3 linked regions of the Schizosaccharomyces pombe genome follow. The gene in region 2 interacts genetically with the main gene of each other region. Each region holds a gene or a part of one and is shown on either strand. Other genes may lie near its edges.

The links. A genetic interaction does not mean that the proteins touch.
Region 1: mutations in pot1 (region 2) and pik1 are lethal when combined (synthetic lethality), as found in Schizosaccharomyces pombe (one study listed by BioGRID).
Region 3: of pot1 (region 2) and chk1, a mutation in one rescues a mutant of the other (synthetic rescue), as found in Schizosaccharomyces pombe (3 studies listed by BioGRID, with this or other methods).

What each region holds. Positions count from the first base shown.
Region 1 is NC_003424.3:5,048,643-5,054,351, forward strand, and holds pik1 (Golgi-specific 1-phosphatidylinositol 4-kinase, type III-beta Pik1), read right to left. Parts: upstream 3,767-5,709; 5' UTR 3,618-3,766; coding exon 3,594-3,617; exon of another isoform or gene 3,545-3,593; coding exon 3,426-3,544; exon of another isoform or gene 3,382-3,425; intron 3,377-3,381; coding exon 3,335-3,376; intron 3,184-3,334; exon of another isoform or gene 3,138-3,183; coding exon 767-3,137; 3' UTR 513-766; downstream 1-512. Other genes in the region: glo3 (ARF GTPase-activating protein), read right to left, coding at 4,465-5,709. UniProt on the Schizosaccharomyces pombe protein: Acts on phosphatidylinositol (PI) in the first committed step in the production of the second messenger inositol 1,4,5,-trisphosphate. PIK1 is part of a nuclear phosphoinositide cycle and could control cytokinesis through the actin cytoskeleton.
Region 2 is NC_003424.3:4,127,221-4,132,885, reverse strand, and holds pot1 (shelterin complex subunit Pot1), read right to left. Parts: upstream 3,663-5,665; 5' UTR 3,358-3,662; coding exon 3,289-3,357; exon of another isoform or gene 3,243-3,288; coding exon 3,122-3,242; exon of another isoform or gene 3,092-3,121; intron 3,050-3,091; coding exon 1,572-3,049; 3' UTR 1,321-1,571; downstream 1-1,320. Other genes in the region: SPOM_SPAC26H5.07C (seven transmembrane receptor protein), read left to right, coding at 1-1,320; mga2 (IPT/TIG ankyrin repeat-containing transcription regulator), read right to left, coding at 4,219-5,665. UniProt on the Schizosaccharomyces pombe protein: Single-stranded telomeric DNA-binding protein that is required to protect the 3'-end telomeric overhang. It binds the consensus sequence 5'-GGTTAC-3'. Regulates telomerase and telomere length.
Region 3 is NC_003421.2:1,058,084-1,064,955, reverse strand, and holds chk1 (protein kinase Chk1), read right to left. Parts: upstream 5,161-6,872; 5' UTR 4,937-5,160; coding exon 4,869-4,936; intron 4,824-4,868; coding exon 4,582-4,823; exon of another isoform or gene 4,536-4,581; coding exon 4,107-4,535; exon of another isoform or gene 4,069-4,106; coding exon 3,861-4,068; exon of another isoform or gene 3,815-3,860; coding exon 3,625-3,814; intron 3,580-3,624; coding exon 3,283-3,579; exon of another isoform or gene 3,238-3,282; coding exon 3,181-3,237; 3' UTR 2,972-3,180; coding exon of another isoform or gene 761-2,971; 3' UTR 513-760; downstream 1-512. Other genes in the region: protein Meu27, read left to right, coding at 761-2,971; ubiquitin-conjugating enzyme E2-C Ubc11, read left to right, coding at 5,219-5,313, 5,362-5,389, 5,440-5,529, 5,699-5,934, 5,985-6,066; gid1 (putative Ran GTPase binding protein), read left to right, coding at 6,767-6,872.

The DNA.
Region 1 (5,709 bases), 920 kb from region 2:
GAGGTATGAAAATGAATTCAAAAGGTACTTGTTTGACTGATATAATCACGACTTAATACCTGCATAAAATTTAATGATGTAAAGTCTCAAGTAATAATTCACCTCAGTTGGATATAATCCTGATAAGAAAAACTATTAATCAACACTAAAATTTTCCTACCAAATTTCTTTGTTATATCACGAATACTGTAATCAATATGAAGATACCCCATTAACCAATGTCAACTACAATATTGTGCAAAGAAACAACCCCTAGTAGAAGAAGGAACAAAGGATTATAACACAAAATTATAAATGAAAAGAAAAAAATTCCAAGTTCTAATATACAATTACTGTTTGCGCCTAATTTTTCAATTTGATGGTAAAGGGTAAATTGAAGTGGGTTGCAGTACCTAATCTTACTTTAAAATTTGGTATGTCAATATACGGAAGTGCGAAAGGATTCTTTAACCCGGATTTAACTACGCCAAATTGTTTGCTAACTTAGAAATGCAGTTAATTTAGACAGTATGCTTTAATAGTATATTATAATTGCAAGGGTTTCTAGTGGGTATGATAAATCATATAGATCACATAAAATATTTTTAATGCATTAATATAGCTAATCTAGCTAACAAAAAAATTACCAAATTTACGAACCATGGTGAATGTGGTGATTTTAATACAATATTGAAAGTTAAAAAAGCCAACCAGCAGTATGGTTCAAGTGTGGAAGCTCCGTAGCTGTATTCGAAAAAAATGAAAAGAGAAAACGAATAGCCACTTACTAGTAAATTCCGTTCGTAATATTTTGAAACAGATCATAAAGTCTCGTCCAAACACTACAATTTGCCTTTTGAATCAACAAATCCACAAAGTCATCACATTCTTTGTCACCAAGCTGTAGTTGAAAACGTTGCAAAAGTTGTGCACTTGTGTTTTCACCAGCACGAAAGCAAGGCATTGTGGAATTATTTTGCATAACTTCAACAAGCAAAATGATCTGATCAGCGTTTTTTCGAACAGATTTAAACGCAGCTTTCATCAAGGAACGATATTCATCAAACCGGTCGTCAAGGATTTCTAAATAATCCGCCGTAAGCTTAAATGGAGCGCTTTCAAAGCCAACATTCCCCGGTGTATTCGTAAGTAAAAAGCCAAAATCAATATGTATAATATGACCTTCACTATCAATAAGAACGTTACCATTATGTCTATCCTTTAACTGTAGTAAGTATGATATAATGCTATATGCCACTAATGATTGAAGGAAATTTGTCTGTGCCTGTCGATACCGGCTGCTGTTGGGATCACCAAACTGCTTTATAAAATAATCCTTCAATGTAACAACATTTTTACCAGCAATTTTTCCTTGGGCTAGTTCAGCTTCCCGAAGCTGTTTCGTCAAATTCTTTTTAATAGAGTGAACACTAATGGCATTTGTAATCGTTTCTATTAAGCCACTATTGTCGCCGGTCACTAAAATTTTCATCCTTCGAACCCAAACCTTTTCTTTACACTCTAGCCAAACACGCTGAAACGCGTATATAAGTTGACAGGCAAATGTCTCTTGCCGGAGATCCGCACCCGTTTTAACAATCACACTGACCAAATCCCAATTGGGATAATGACCATAAGGAGAAGACTTTCTTATCCTTTCCTTCTTGGCATACCAATCTTCTTGGAATGTAGCGGCACTGGGATCATCTCTATCACCTTTCCGTTCTGCCTTTTGAGTTTCTTTGCCAAATCGCAGATCTTCTGCGCATGATATGTCGACTGAAACAGGATAAATGGATGGTTCATTAAGGCGCTCTTCTTCGAGTCTTTGCATGTCAAGAATAATGCTATTTTTTATTCGTTCAGTCTCAGCTTTGGGACGTCTGCTACCTTCAGCATCAAGCTGACTTAGCATAGTTGCCGCAGCTCGCATTCTCGCTGTTATTTCTGAAGCATAGATTTTACTTCTTTTTAAGGCGCCATTTCCATCAGAATCAGAGTGGCGCCCAGATAACAGGACGACATCGGTATCTCTATGAGAGGACGGTACCTGCAAAGATACATTACCAAACGAAGAGAATGACTTACTCAAAGAAAGAGTGTCCGGTACCAACCCTTTTATCAGAGGAGACATACTTAAATCCCCTCCCTCACTTTCCGACTCTGAAATATCATTGTCGGTACTGTCTTGAAGGTTCGTATAAGGATCGACATCTGTGAGGTCAAACCACCTTTTTCTTTGGTTTTTATGAGAGACAATCTTTTGCACCTTAGCCTTATTTTTCTTCGATTGTGGCTCGAAGCTGAGTTCACCAGATAGGACCTCAACCATAATAAGATAAGGTACTCGTTCGGCAGAATTGAGTATGGTAGCCTCTTTAGGATCAATGCGAACGATTTTATGACTCACTTCTTTATGATATGATCGTAAAAGCGGTATGTTCACATCGGCTGGAAGGTTGTTATTTAAAAGAGCAAGTTCGGCGCGTAATGAAGAAAGGCGAGCTTGTCTAGGTACAATGATGAGACGGATAGATATATCTTGTAAAGCAAAAAGAAATTGAATTTCTTGTTGAAAATAATTAGAGCGTAGAACACGACGCTGTTCGTCAATAGATAATGTAGCTGATGATTGATATGAATGGGTGCGGGTTAGTTCTGGAGCTTTTAGTCTAAGGGATACTTCGGAATGTTGCTCGACAATAGAGTTGTTCAAAGACGAACGTAATACGTCCAGAGAATATCGAGGTTCGGTGGAAAGACGGCGTAAAACATCAACATCTGATTCATCTGGATCTTGCCTAGGGGCTTTACGGCCTTGAGCAATTGCAATGGGGCCAGCTTTTTTTAGTAGTTCAGGCACACAAACACCACCTAGCATGATGCCTGAAAGGATTAGGGCAGGGGTTACATTTTCGGAGATTTTTTGTTGGGACTGTATTAACGATGATGATGACATGAAAACCAAAATCTGAATACGATTGTAAAGTCGTTTACATATTTTAAAACAAGAAGAATGCGGCTGTAAACCTAGATCCACCATATGGGCTTGCAAATACCAAAATGTAATGAGTGCGCATTGTGTATTTTGTTCACATTGAGAAATGATAAATTCTTCTAAAGCAACGCTTTCAGAATCTTTGTTAAGGACGAGATGACTACAGTATGATATTAGAGATGCACGAACACAACGGAATAAACGTTTGAAGGAAAGAAAATCAAAAGGTAAGAGAGTCATTAAATTATGAAATAGGCATATGAGTCATATACTCGGCTTTCACTGACTTATGAGCTCGACTTTTTGGTACTTTCCTTCCCCCCAAAAATTTTTCTTTATTTATCGAAATAAACGTACATTAATTGAGGAATAAAAAATTCTATCTCTTCATAAGGAAATCTAATATGTGTTAGACATAAAAAACAAAGAAATGATACGGTAGACATACGTTGCTAGTTTTTCGCAAAGAAAGTGATGAATGCCAATATTGTTAGGATAGCGTGAAAGATATGCAACACAAAGTTGACTCGTGAAATGGGCAGACTCAAAGAATCTTAAAAGTAACTCCTAGAAATAGCGTTAATTACGCAGCTAACACAACGATCAAAAGTCATACATTTCCCGAATTCGAAGATGGCATGTTTAACCTTGAAGCTGCATAAACATCGTCATATATTAAGTCGATGTTGATGCTAATTAAAATTAAATAATATATGCCATGTAAGGCTTAAAAAATGCGATTTTTCGTTCACTTAGCCTTCACCGTAGTATGAATGGGGAAAGTAGCGTAGGCCAAGTATCCACTAAAAGGGGAGGGTAGGTCATCATCTCAAAATGTAAACATGCCAGTTGCAAAAATTGAATTTTTGTTACAATTCCAAATATTACTAAATAAATTCTCAGTAGAGCTCAATATTAATTATGTAGTTTTAATAATACTAAAACAGGACTGTTAATTGACAATACAAAGCTTTACTATCACTGCAACGAAAAAGAATGCTACATCAATTAATCTATCTAAAATTCAAGAAAAGGACAGTTCCTAGAGACCTATAAATCACTTTCCGCTTACAGCGAAACCTTGAAGCAAAGCTGAAAAAGAAAGTGGGTATTCAGCATCCAGATAAGCTACATGCCAGTGAAAAATGTAGTTTTTAATTCAGAGAATCTAGTAGCTGTTCGCAATGGCTGTTTAATGCATTCAAAACCTTTCCTTTATACAAGTTGATGTGATAGTTTTAGATAATTTCTATCAATATTAAAAAAAATGGTTCCACGAGAAATTGACGAGAAGAAACCGCATTTGTTACAAGGTCAGATCAATAAGGGTAAGATACTAGTAGCGGAATATTGAACTGGTTAGAATAGGCATAACTCAATTTGAACTAATTAGTTTTGGTCGTCGAAGTAAATTTGAGAAGATGGGGAACAGATACTGGCACAGATAGACAGGTTCTTGCTACTTGAGCTAAAGTTGGACGGATGAATTAAAAATTGTATCGAGCACCAACTTTTTGAATAAAATCTGAAAGTTTTTCTGCGCCTTGGTGAATAGCTACTTTAATAGCTTCAATGTCTTCAGTAGCAGTTTCAGCTATATCACGAAGGTATGCGCTATCTGGACGATGAGACGATTCACCCTCCTCGTTTTCATCTTCTTCCTCACCAAAATAGGACTTGGAAGAAATAGCTGTGGCATCTCGGAAAGAAGATAAACGTTCTTGAGCTTCGGCAGCTGCCTCGGGATCAAACGATCCACGACCAAAATATTGATCAGATGAAATAGACTTCTGAGAAGCAAAGTGATCTCGTGCGTATGTCGGTGCATTAACCTCATTTTTCTTCAGTTCTCGTGCCTTTGCAGCGGCCTTAGCACGCGCATTGGATGCAGCAGCAAACTGGCCGAATCCCAAACGTGCAAAGTTTGCATTGAGGTTTGAGTCGTCAGACTTAGTTGACTTTGCGGATGCAGCAGATTTCAAAACAGGTTTTACCGGCTTTCCTTGCACAGTGGTCGAAGTGGACTCCTTGACTTCCTCGACTCCATTATCTACCAATGTATCAACGGTGCTTTCCTTAGACGCAACAGCAGCAGGTTTTTTGGTTGGCGCAGATTCGGAAGACAATACAGCTTTTTCGAACTCATCGAAGTCAATATCGGCATTCGCCTTTTTGATACCGAGCTTCTGAGGTCTACTAGCACCCAATTTACTAGCAGTAGGGCGTGAGGAAGCACGGATAGGCCGGGCACGAGCAGAAGAAATAGAAGAAGTTTTTGATTTGGTAGTGGAAGTAGAATCTGGACGAGAAGGGGGAGAAACCATAGTCTTCTCTTCAGTGACGACGACAGGCTCATCTTTCTCGCCGCTTTCAACAACTACCGATGAACTAGTAGAAGCTAAGTCAGTTTTGTCATCAAGATTATCGTCCGATTTCTTCACAGATGCTTTATCCCAAGCAGAAAAAAAGTCATCATCTTCATTAGTAGTGTCAGCAGCAGAACTGCCTTCATGAGTGTTGGAAAGGAAATCCATATCCAATATATCGGGATAATTAGCCTCGTCTTCTACCGCAAGAGACTTTAGTTTTTCAAGATATTGTTTTGCAGTTTTGGAAGAATATTTCAAACGACAATCCTTGGAATTCAGAAGTGAAACCCCACCATGACGCTTAAAGTAATTACGGGCGTTTTCATTGCCACCGACCCGCATTACACGAAGTTGCGCATATGT
Region 2 (5,665 bases):
ATTCGTTTGCTAATTTTTAACTGGAAAGATGTTAATGCCATCGGCATGGAAGACGATGATGGCGAGAAGCATTATATATGTAACTACGAAGACATTGAAGCCGGTGTTTGCAAGGACGATGATTATGGTCTTTACTTGATTAACCAAACCGCTCCCCACGATTCTATTTACTCAGCCGCCGTAGACGCTGAATCCATGGTTAGTCCCCTTAAATATCCGGTTGAGCAATCTGGTCTATATTGCGTCTTTACCGCACCCCTTGAAGGCTCCAGCGAGGCTTACAAAATCACCGTAACCTGGGAAAACTATTTTGGCAATTTGGATGCTACTGATTATCCTCATTTGTTTTTAAATCCCATTCTTTTGGCGATCAATTGTTTAATTGGAATTTGGTGGTCTTTTATTATGTTCCGCTATAGGCATGATCTCCTTCAAGTTCAAAAGTATATTTCAGGTGTTGTTGCTCTTTCTATTGTTTGCACTATGGTCTCTACAGGTTATTTCTATTTCGCGAATAGCAAAGGTTACACTACAGGTAGTAAAGTTTTTGCTTTCTTTTTGTCGTTAGCTCAATCCGCTCGTCAATCCTATTTCGGATTTTTGCTGTTAATTGTTTCACTGGGTTACTCTATTGTTGTTCCTAGTTTGGGAAGTCTTCTTCGTAAGTGTCAAATTCTTGCTGGTTTGCAGTTCGTTTCTTCATGCTTTTTCTTGTCATCTTTGTTCATTAGCCCATCTAATAAAGAGTCTTTGGTCATTTTGTTTGCCGCTCCTGTCTTTTTAATCACCCTCTTCGCTATGTTCCTTTGGATTGTATTGGCTTTAAATAATACAATTCGTGATCTCCGTATTCGTAAGCAAACTGTTAAGGCTCAGATGTATACTCGTCTTTGGATTGTTATATGTTTTGGCATTGTCGCTTATGCTTCGATTGTCGCAGCCAATGCCATTTTGATTGGTATCTACGGTCAAATGAACTATTACTTAAAATACTGGAAACTTCTTTGGTTCCTTAATTACGGATACACTGATATTCTTGTTTTGATCTTGATGCTTACCATTTTGTACTTGTGGCGTCCTACCGAGAATAACCGTCGTTTCGCAATGAGTGAGCAAGTTGCTCAAGATGTAGATGAGTTTGAGATGACTTCCTCTCTCTCAAATGATAGTTTGCATCTGCATCATGAGCGTCCTACATCTCCAGCCAACCCTCATATTATTCATGGCAGTGCCGATGAGCATCAAGCTCTATTCGCTGTTGACGATGAAAGTGATGATGATGCCTCAACACTTGCAACTTCTAAGCAAAAGCCTGCTTAGATGTAACCACCATACATCAAACCAATCCTTATTATTTTTGTAATTAATTTCTAAGATTATTTCGAAGTTGATGTTATATAAAGTCTAAGCAATTAGATATTTCACGTTTCCCCTCTGTGTTTTTCCTTAGTACAAATTCGCTCGCTTTATAAAATTCTCCCAATATAGAGCTTTCCTTAAATTTAAATATTGTTTTTCTTATGTTTCTTTTCCGTAAGCATTTCATTATTGTAAGTTTTGTATCACAATAGTCAAACAATTTTCGTGCCAAATCCTCGCCAGCGCTTCTGAAGAAAAGTCAAAGATTGATGGTCTTTGGTGTTCCCAATTACAGGAATGTATTCTTTGACATATATATCAAACCATGGTGTTTCAACATCTTCAGCAGCCAGAGTTGGCGATTCACCCTTCGATATGTGATGCTGAATGCGTTCTTCCAAGTTCCCCCAAATCAGAAATAATCTTTCTTTAAGCTGAAGAGTCATCTGCGGGTGATCAGCTAAATTGCAAGGTTGGATTTTTGAGCTGTTAATAAGTTCCGCAGCGTCAGAATCAAAAAATATGACCGGTAAAGTCACATTCGATACATCCCTTACGAGCAAGGCAAACATCCAAACATACGAAGATGGTGGTTGAGATAGCACAGCAAACTGCGTCAAACTCTTTGGCCAAAAATCTACCACCTGAACGCGTAGCCTATGTTTCCTCGGTTTGAGAAGATTCTGCAAAGGTGCATGAAGTATGGTAGAAATAGTAGTCAATTTTAAACTAGCAGGTTCATTTATGACATGGGCCGTAATTTCATTAACAGAAGTTTGCTTTAATTCATGGGCGATAAAAGGATTTTCCGATTGTTGGCTTTGACTGAGTTTCTCGATTACTGCTTCTATACCATTTTGGCAATTCTGAACATAAAGCCTTTTACGTGACTTAATTTCGTTTAGTTCGGGTTCTTCCGAATCGACTTTTTCTATACTCATATTATAACGTTTTGCTGAATCCCCATGAAGTATACATTCCAGATAACCAAGGTGATCAATTTTGGTTCGCACATTTTTCATAACCACATAGTCACCTTCTTTAATGTAGTTGCGGCAGTAAAAGTCGTGCTCATCCCATAAAATGCACCTTATAGAAAACCGACCAAAAGGGCCCCTCCATCTCGAGGAGCTAGTATACGGAGACATTGGAAAAAAAAGCTCATTTTCCGTATAATCAGTGACATAAAGAGTAAAGTTTTTATCACTGTACCAAGTTTTAATTACCTGAGCGTAAAAGCTACAACGTTGATGTGGAGTTATTTGTGATAGCAGAGAAAAAGAGACAGAAGGGTAACTCAATCCAGTTTGATTTTGACGAGCAGAAGAGGTACTCAATAATTCGCCATTTTTATGTTTATTAGTTTGCTCATCCCAAATTTTATTTAACAACAAGGCGAATTGCTCTTCCTTGTCTCCCGTTTTCATTAAACGAGGCATTGGTTGAGGACAGAGAGTATCTTTGGAATTAGAAGAAAAGTCTGGCCAAAGTGCATATCGAAATTGATCCTTAGACAAACCTTGAGTCCTGTCTCTATAACTTCTTAATGTGATTTGATGAAGCAAAAGCGGTTGCCCCACCTGCTTGATTACAGGCAAATCATTTCCCTGTTTGCTGAACAAGTGTATCTGTAGTCCGATGCTTGATGTATCACATGTTGGATCCCACAAATATACGGTGGTTACCCAATCTAAAAACATGATTATTAGCTCTTGACTGGAAAAATAAAAAGTATAGTTTCCACCATGATAAGCAAGCATACCCTTAGTTCCATGTAGACTTTGGCGACTAGGGGTAAAATCTTTTACTATTCCAAACAAATTGACAATAGTATTCTTCTTTTGTAATTCTTGAGAGCTTCTAATGGACTGAAATGTAAGTTCCTTTTTCATTGTTAGCAAAACAAATATAAATCCATTGATATCTCACTCCAATCTTATATTCTCCAGCATTTAATAACTCATTCAACTGAAGACTGTCAATAACGTCCTCTCCCATGCTTGATCAACGAATGATCCAAATATCCTTTAAGAACAACAAATGAGTTTTAGCCTTTCTCAGAAACCTAAATGGAATTGGTAAAAGCTTTTTAAACCAAGACAACCCCTTGAAAGTGATGAACCTTCAGATTATTCAATAGACTGCGTGAGAGTTACTTGTTCAAGCTTGATCATTCCCCTTCTTCAAATTCCTAGGATGAACTAAGGGTTATTCAGTTTTATTTTACCAATAATGAATTTGTTTCTTTATCAAGCAAAAGAATGACCCACTCCTCAATCTTGAGGTTATGAGTGTTCATGGCTAGCTATTAAATGGATCGCCGTAAAGTCCTTAAGCTGAGCGCAGTTGTAAAACTTTAGACATATCCCAGTTTCTGCTAGGCTATTATTGAAAGAGTTTGCCGAGTATCAAGATTTACTAGTATTATAATAAGCAGATCGCATACCGGTTCATGCCAATTGGTACTTAAAAATTTTAATGTATGCGGTTCATCTCGAAAACTCAAGACGCTTACTTTAGCTAATCTAACGTTCAGTTTAGAAAAAGAATGCAATGCAAAAAGCGATAGCTTATTAAAAGACTTTCCTAAGGTATTGCATTCACGATCCAGAACAGCAAACCTGCAACGATCTATTTTGGTTTTAAAAGCGCCAACCTGCTCTATGCGTTTAAACCCATGTAAGTTTAACTTACAAAATAAGCAATTACTTTCAATATAATAAAAAATTGATCCAATCGAATATAATATATACGATTTCATTGTCATAATACCTAAGTTTTGACAGTAGTTTGCTCATAATCTACAAAAAAGAATAAAACTAAAAGAAAGAAAAAAACATGCATGGTTGTTCGTCAAACCTAAATGCCAATTATGCAGCGATATAAATATCCCCCGATCATTTGAGCATAGCTTCGAAGACCAAAGATACTCAGCAAAAGTAGGGCAGGTAACCAGAAAGAGAATAGCATAAAGTCCATTCCTGCCTTTTTCAGTGTCTTTGCCTGCTCCTGTATTGCTCTGGTTTCTTCAGGAGTAAGAGCAGTAGATTTTCCACGACCAACAAGCCGAGATTGCCATCTCAAAGACCACCAAACACTTTTGTGATGATCGGGATCTTCAGATATAGCGCTATCTCTTTTACTAGAACCAGCTTGCGCTGTCGTATCATCAGCAAACTCAGAATAAGGAGGGGGTACATCATCGGGAATGGCCGATATACTTTTTAAGGTTGACAGCATGGCTTTTTGCATCATGGATGGAACTTCACTCATATAATTCTGAGGTAGTTCTTGAAGCGATGGAAACATTGTAACAGTTTTATTCCACATACTTTCACTATATGACTTGGTCTGAACAGCAGATTCCTCAATTTCGTTAACAATACTGGTTGATTCTAAGGTTTCATTTGTATTAATGGAGCCTTCAGAATCCTTAATAAGAGAGCGAGAAATACTTTGGGCTTGTTCATTATTTGCTTCCTTAAAGACCAGTTTTATAGGCTCAGAAGAGGAGAGGTCTATCGGTTTTTTACCGCTAGCTCCTATAACATCAGGCTTGGCACCGTTGGAAAGTAAATTAACACATATGTCTTTATGATCATACAATGAAGCATAATGCAGTGGTGTATAGCCAAGTGCGTCCCTTTTGTTAACATCGCATCCTGCGTTGCATAAGAACGTCGAAGCATTAGACAATCCACAGGCAGCAGTAAGGTGGAGAAGTGACCTACCAGATTCGTTAACAAGACTAAAATCAGAAAGGTATGGTGTCGTTGTATCTGTAACAAGAGCAAATGCTGCGAGGATAGTACTTTCAACACTGTCATCAGACTGATTACTGTCTTTTTTCACAATCCGCGAAATAACCGATTTAAGCGATTCCATATTGCTATCATGCAATAAGGTTTTTTTAGACTGACCTTTAGATTCACTGTTAGGAGGCTGCTTAATAGAATTTGTTATATATTGAGCAAAATCGTCGCGCCATGAACTCAACAATTTTTTGGATAACGTTAATGGGTTTTGAATAGATCCAGTAAGTTTTAAGCCTAAAACTTGAACAGTTAATTTGTAAAGTTCATTATCTAAATTATCTTCATAAGTAAACATTACTGGCGCTTCAGAAGATGAATTATAGTTCTGAAAGGTTACAGGAACGGTTCCAGCATTAGTTGCAGGAGGACAAGTCGCTATAATCGTTGACTCACTCCACGAAAAAGTTACAGCAGCTGGGTTGTCACCAAATAAACAGACTAATCCATTAAAAAAGTTCGCGCCAAGAATTGTAACTTCATAACCTCCCATG
Region 3 (6,872 bases), on a different chromosome or scaffold from region 2:
TCTATTTTCTGAAATTTTTACTTCAGAAAGATATTTTCGGGGGTATTCATGAATCAATAACTTTTGACAACATAAATACAATATAATTCGATCACTAAAAAATAACTTCTGTTTATTTACAGTTGCTAGTATTCCACTCTTTTTCGTTTGTTTATTTACACATTATTTTCCTTTAACTCAGAATTGCGTTAAATGATTCTTTTCGAATGTATAATTGCAGCAATGTTGATTTGTTTATTATTTTTGTTTACAACATTATACTTGGTTGTCTTTAGTAAATCTTGCCTCCTTATTGGTTACAAGTCAAACATCCATTGTAAATAGTGAGTAATTGGTGTTGTTTATTTAGGCTTAGTTCAAAGGCTTAGCTAAGGATATTATTACTATTCAGTTAATCTAAATCCTTTGTTATTTGAGCTATTTATCCAGGATGCAAATGGTTAGCGAAAGCTTTTATTTTTAAATGATCATCTTTTAGTAATATTAAATGTTTACTTAACACTTTTTTAAGCAAATGTTAGGTGAGCATCAAATTATCATTCGATGTTTGTTTATTGTGAGGGATTTCATAAATTATTAGTTATGATAAAACAATGTGTTAATATAAACGAAATGAATTGTTTTTTAATATAAATAACCCAAGGTTGAACATGTTTTACCCAACCTTTGTATACACTTCAAGAGATTGAACACGATCTCTAATTACTGAGTTATCCAACTGGCAATCACTCAAGCCTCAAAAGAGCCAAGTAACTTCGTAATGAACAGTAAAATTGCTTATCCAGAGATTAAAATATCAGGTGCCTTTCGTCCTGATAAAATACAGGAAAAGGGAAAAAGTAACCGATGTGATACTCACTGCTCTGGTAGCTCTTGGACAAGTTTTAAATCAAAGATCCTAAAAATTTGCGCTCCTCTCTGCTGTATGGGTTCTGATAACGATGAAAGCATGGCAGAAATGCCATTAGAACCCCAAGTTGAGCCAAAATCAATAGAGAACAATTATACTTTAAAAAAAAAAAATGAAGAAGGCTTCTTAAGTCAACAGGAAAATAAGTCTTCAAACCAAAATCCTTCAAAGGCTAATAACCTTTTCGACAAGCTCGGCGTAAGCAAGCCAATAACATTCATAGCTTGTATACTGCAATTGGGCGGCACCTCTTTTATGGAATCAGAACTCCAGACGAAACTTTCAACTATTAATAGCTCGCCGTTTAAAAGTTTATCCCAATACTGGAATGCTGCATACAATAAAAAGGAATCAATATCATCTTCAACGAATAGTAACATCAAATTACATTTGGCAGCTCGTAAATACCAAACAAAACCTGAAAAATTTAACGAAAATTCTTCCATTAGTCAGGTTACATCCGCAATAAAAGCAACAAAGGCATTTTCGCATTTAACTCAACCGAAGAGGGCACTATTGAAAGAAAGCAATACGGGAGATAAAGATATATTTAAGCCTCGGTATCCACAGCTTCTAAGCTGTAGATTTACAACCTTGAGCAAATTGGCGCCAATTAATAATTCCAAATCAGCACCTAAAGGTACCCACAAACCGAACCACTCAGAAAATGCTGAATTAAAAGATATAAAACAGAGCTCTGAGCTTTCTGACTTATCACTATCTTCACAGATTTTATATCCCGAATCCACGACTTTAAGTGAAATATCGCCGATATATGATTCTGAATTAGCAATTGAAAATATACTCGAATCTAAGTGCTTTGAAAATGAACAAGCCATAATAGAAGGAGTAAAAGATTTTACCGAATTTCCCGACCTAGAAGAAACACAGATTATATATTCCGACCTCATCGCTTCCAGTGAAGTATCGCCAATATATGATTCTGAATTGAAATATGAAAGTGTACTCGAATCCAAAAGCTCTAGAAACGAACAGGCTACAATAAAAGAAAAAAAAGATAATGAAAGGGTCCTCGACTTGTCACAGCAATGCACAAAGTTTCTTTTCAGTGACCAAAAGGTTATTACCCCAAGCTTTTGCAAATTTGCCCAAGTATCAGACATGTGCTCTACTGAAATTCCTTGGGTAAACTTCTTTTGTGATAACCTAGATATATGTATCGAAGATGTTCAATTCAAGAGTAAAGCCTTTTTTCCACCTACAGTAACTATTACCATCTTTGAGCACGAAGATAAAAACTTGATGAATGTCTTCGATACTAAAAATGGAACATCAAAAACATTAGTGAAACCTCAAATAACTAATAGCTGCCTTGAAAATATGCTATCACTTGTAAACAAGAACAGCTGTATTAAAAGGCTTCACTTAAAGTTGTCTAAAGGGATAATGGACATCAAGGTATTAACTCATCAGCTAATGCTATATGATCTTTATCCTCCTGCTCACCAAACATATCTATGGAAAGCATTAGAACGACTAGTGAATGAAAAGGTGAGTTTAGGAGAACTAACACCTGTTCACAAAGTAGCAGCCGAAAAGAGAATAGGAGACATCCGGATGCATTTAATTGAATCTTCGGATATATACGTTGTTACTGAAAATCATCGCTGGCTACATATCGTGTGTGAGGGCTTTAACTGTTTCTTAGAGCTTCCCGAAGTACTTCACGGAAAGAAGTTTTTAAAAGTAGATGAGGCTACAAGAGAAGACATGTTAATGTCTGCAGAGACTCCAGACGATATTTTATGGATAACTACATTGATAAGTACTGGTTCATCGATGTCACATTTTCCTTTGCATGCTTACCTGGAAGCCAAAGAGAGACAAGAATTCACAAAAAAGAACCTTTTACTATTTTGTAAAGAAGATGAGTTTTTATACTCCGACCAAGAAAATGAAGACCTTTTAGAATCGTTTGAAAGAGTTATTTCAGAAGAGTTATCCCTTTTAAAATCAAATGAGCCGTCAGATATCTCACTAAAAAAGAGAAAAAGAAGAAAGAATTGTGAGAAAAGAATATTGGGTACAATGATGTATTAAACGGCATGGCCAGTCGGAAGAACTATCCTTATGCTAATAATATATCTTCAGCATTCGCAACCATTGATATTTGCTTGACAAAGCGTTAATAATCCTATTCCCTAGGATATCATTTGTACTACCACAAAATTGAAAATAAATTCACAACGAAGTCAAACAACAGGTTTCTTTTACAAACGAACTGGCACGACCTTTCAAAAGATGTGCAATTAATTTTGTGAAACATCTGTAAGAACAATCGGCTTCCCTATTGAACTGACAACGTTCTTTCACATGGATTAGTATATGAAATCCCTATGATAAAGACATACTTTAAAAAATTTTCTCCATTCAAGAGGATCCCCATTACGCTTTATAAAGTTTATAAGCTCTAAGTTATGGCCTAAATTAGTTAGTTCAATAACACCTTGCAAGAGACATTTCCGTTTATCATGTAAATTAACATAAAGGATGGTCTGATTTCGAACATATTTCATAGTCACTGAGATTGCAAGTAGTCGTAGACTGTCATAAAGATGATCTATAATGGTTTCTCTCGACGCCCTAGAATAAAACCTAGTGAGTCTTTCAGGAGGACAAATTTCGTAGAAATTCTTAGCCTTTTTGGCCTTTTTCATATAGTTAGAAAAAATTTAGGTTTAAATAAATAATACCAATCTTTTAATAAAACCTTCATTCTCACAAAACTGACTCAATGAGGGGTCTTTTTCAAGGATTTCAGTAACGTCAATATTTTTATTAAGTTGTACTGGCTGGGATAAGGCGCCATAAACTTCTACACGATCCAACTCCTTTTGGTCATTTTTTTTAAAAGCTGGCTGTGTCATTGAAAAACCGCTATCGCTAATTGAAAGAGTTAGAAATATGAAACAACTGTGCAAGATCTTACTTTTGAGATGCTCTAGATGAGGCAAGACGTGGTTTATCTAAATCAATACGAAGTTTCAACATGAGCCTTGATGCCAATGCTACAGGATCGGCACAATTCCCATTTTTAGTTCGAAATGGTGTACTTGAGGTAAGCCATGGGTGCTGTACAACATGTTTGACAGAGTAGCGCTTAAATGGATCACTTCGAAGCATTCCGGTGATAATCGCTGATCATTAGTTTAAAGGAATTTCAGTCAGGACTTACAATAGGCTCCTGGAGACAACAAGTTCCATGGGTGGTAAGACGGGCGTTCACATTGTTTTTTATAAAGCAAGTAGTCACCAGTGTTGCTAATTGCTTCATCCCAAGGTGTGTTGCCTAATAACAAAGCAAAAAGAATTATACCGCAGGACCAGACATCAACTTTTGAACCATCATACTGCTGTGTAATTTCTGGAGCAGCGTATGGTGGACTACCCACTGGACTATTCAAAAGCCTACTTTTACCTTTATAGGAAAATAAAGATGCAAAGCCGAAGTCTGAAATCTTTAAGTTACCATTGTAATCTAAAAGGATGTTCTCAGGTTTCAAGTCTCGATGCGCGACACCTTTAGAGTGCATGAAGGAAATACCTTCCATAAGTTGAGCAAAATAAAACTGAGCGACGTCCTCATCAATACCTACATCAGGCTCTAAATTGTAAGTCCGTTAGTAAAAACGAAAGGTTCATGCACCCACCTATTTTGTCAAATAAGTCACCACCTTGAGCAAATTCAAGTACTACCCATCTCCATTGGGGATTTTCTGCTGTATTATAAAAATGAATGATATTTTTATGTCCATTGCATAGTTTGTGAAGTTGTATTTCACTAGCCATCCTTCTAGCCCATACCCCTGCATTCATACAACTAGTAGCATGTTTTTTATTGACAAATTTGACAGCATATATTTTAGCATTATCATCGTAACATAAACGGACGCTTGCTTAAGTTAGTATATAGTATTTTTCAAATCAAAATTCATACGAAGCAAAAGCCCCAGTACCTATTTCTCTACCAATATGGTAAGGAAAGTTATCTAATTTTTGAGCCATTCTTTGGTGTAAAGGGAAAGAAGATTATAATATAACACAAGCATATGTTGCAAATTTTGGCATGTGTATTATTTACAGTCTTAACATCATCAAAGACTGGAAAAGATTAAATTAAGGTAATTTTTAAATGAGTTTTAAATCTATATAATGATATAAAATTGGACTATAATTTGATATCCGGTTTTCGTTTACTTGTGTACATTAGCACATGTTGTGTTGTGTTTATAACTTACTCTCCTACCACCACGTACTCATTGAGAAACTACAGTAACAACTTGAGGAATGGATTCTGATATGCAAAACCAGAACCCTCATACTAATTCTAAAAACTCTTCTTCTGCTGGCATGGCTGTTGACGGTCATAGCGTTACAAAACGGTAAAAAATAAACAGTTTTTAGGAAAAAAGTCTCTAATGCATTTGTAGATTGAGAAGCGAATTAATGAGTTTAATGGTTTGTAATAAGCTTTTTTACTTTGTTATTAACTAGGGTTTTATGACTAGATGTCCAATACTCCTGGAATTAGTGCGTTTCCAGATTCTGATTCTAACCTGCTACATTGGGCTGGCACAATTACCGGCCCAAGCGATACGGTATGACTTTTATTTTGAAAGCTTAATATTTAAAGTATATGAATAATGCTTGGTGTGCTTACTTGTAGCTGCACTTTAATGGAAAATTAATACACATCTTTGTCATTACATTTTCATAACTGTCTACTCTTCTTTCTTCTTTTTCATACGACTAACGTAACGAAAATAGTACTATGAAGGATTGAAATTTAAAATTTCAATGTCATTTCCAGCTAATTACCCATATTCCCCTCCAACTATCATTTTTACTTCACCAATGTGGCACCCCAATGTCGATATGAGTGGAAACATATGTTTAGACATTTTAAAAGATAAATGGTCAGCAGTCTATAACGTACAGACAATTTTGTTATCTCTACAAAGTCTGCTGGGTGAGCCAAACAATGCTTCTCCCTTGAATGCTCAGTATGTTGAAAATATCTCATTTACCTTTTTTGATTATTAACAATTCTTAGAGCTGCAGAATTGTGGAGTAAAGACCCTATCGAGTACAAACGTCTTTTAATGCAGAGATATAAAGAAATCGATGAAATTTAGTTAGGCCGGTCTATTTCATACTCATTTTCATTTCTGTTTAGTCATATGGATTTTCTTTTCCTATTCAATGCTTGAAAAAATGTCTTTAGTTAAACTTTCTTCATTGATAATGGAAGTTGAAATTATTTCATCTCATCGATTAAGCAATTCCTTCATGCAATGCCACAACCTCCTGAAAACCACCGAATGGTTTTTTAAGGACCGTCTATCATTATTTAGTTCCAGAAGTTGAAGTTGTTATTATGATGCTCGATTAAAGCTATTCTTGTTTAATGCATTCCGTTAATGCAGTCGTTTTTTTAGCTTTCCGTTAGATTATAATACTATTTTATTATTATTGATTCTCAATGTCATTGTGTTATGTATTATCGCAAGACAAGTATCAATGTTATGTTGTGCCTGAATTTTTTTCTGATTAGTAATAGGACTGTATATACAGCCTAATATTTGTATTTCTAATTTTGAGCCTTTAATCCTTATGAAGCCGTATAGTGAAGTATCTTTTCAGTCTCAGAGCATTTTATAGAGTTGCTGAAATTTACACGTCATTTAAAAATTTAAGAGTTTTACCAATTATTATTACAAAAGATTTGTATTTAATTACAAAAGAAAAACTGATTAGAAAATTGAACATTTAAACTGATAGCTGAATAAGCTACTAAAACTGGCTGTTTATATGCTACCAAGAGCATACCTGCGAATGACTAGTACACCAAAGAATCTTGAAAAACAGCCGATTAACTTCGACAATCTCCCCTTGTATTTACAAGGAACCAATTACGGAGAAAATGTGCTTAGAAGTGACC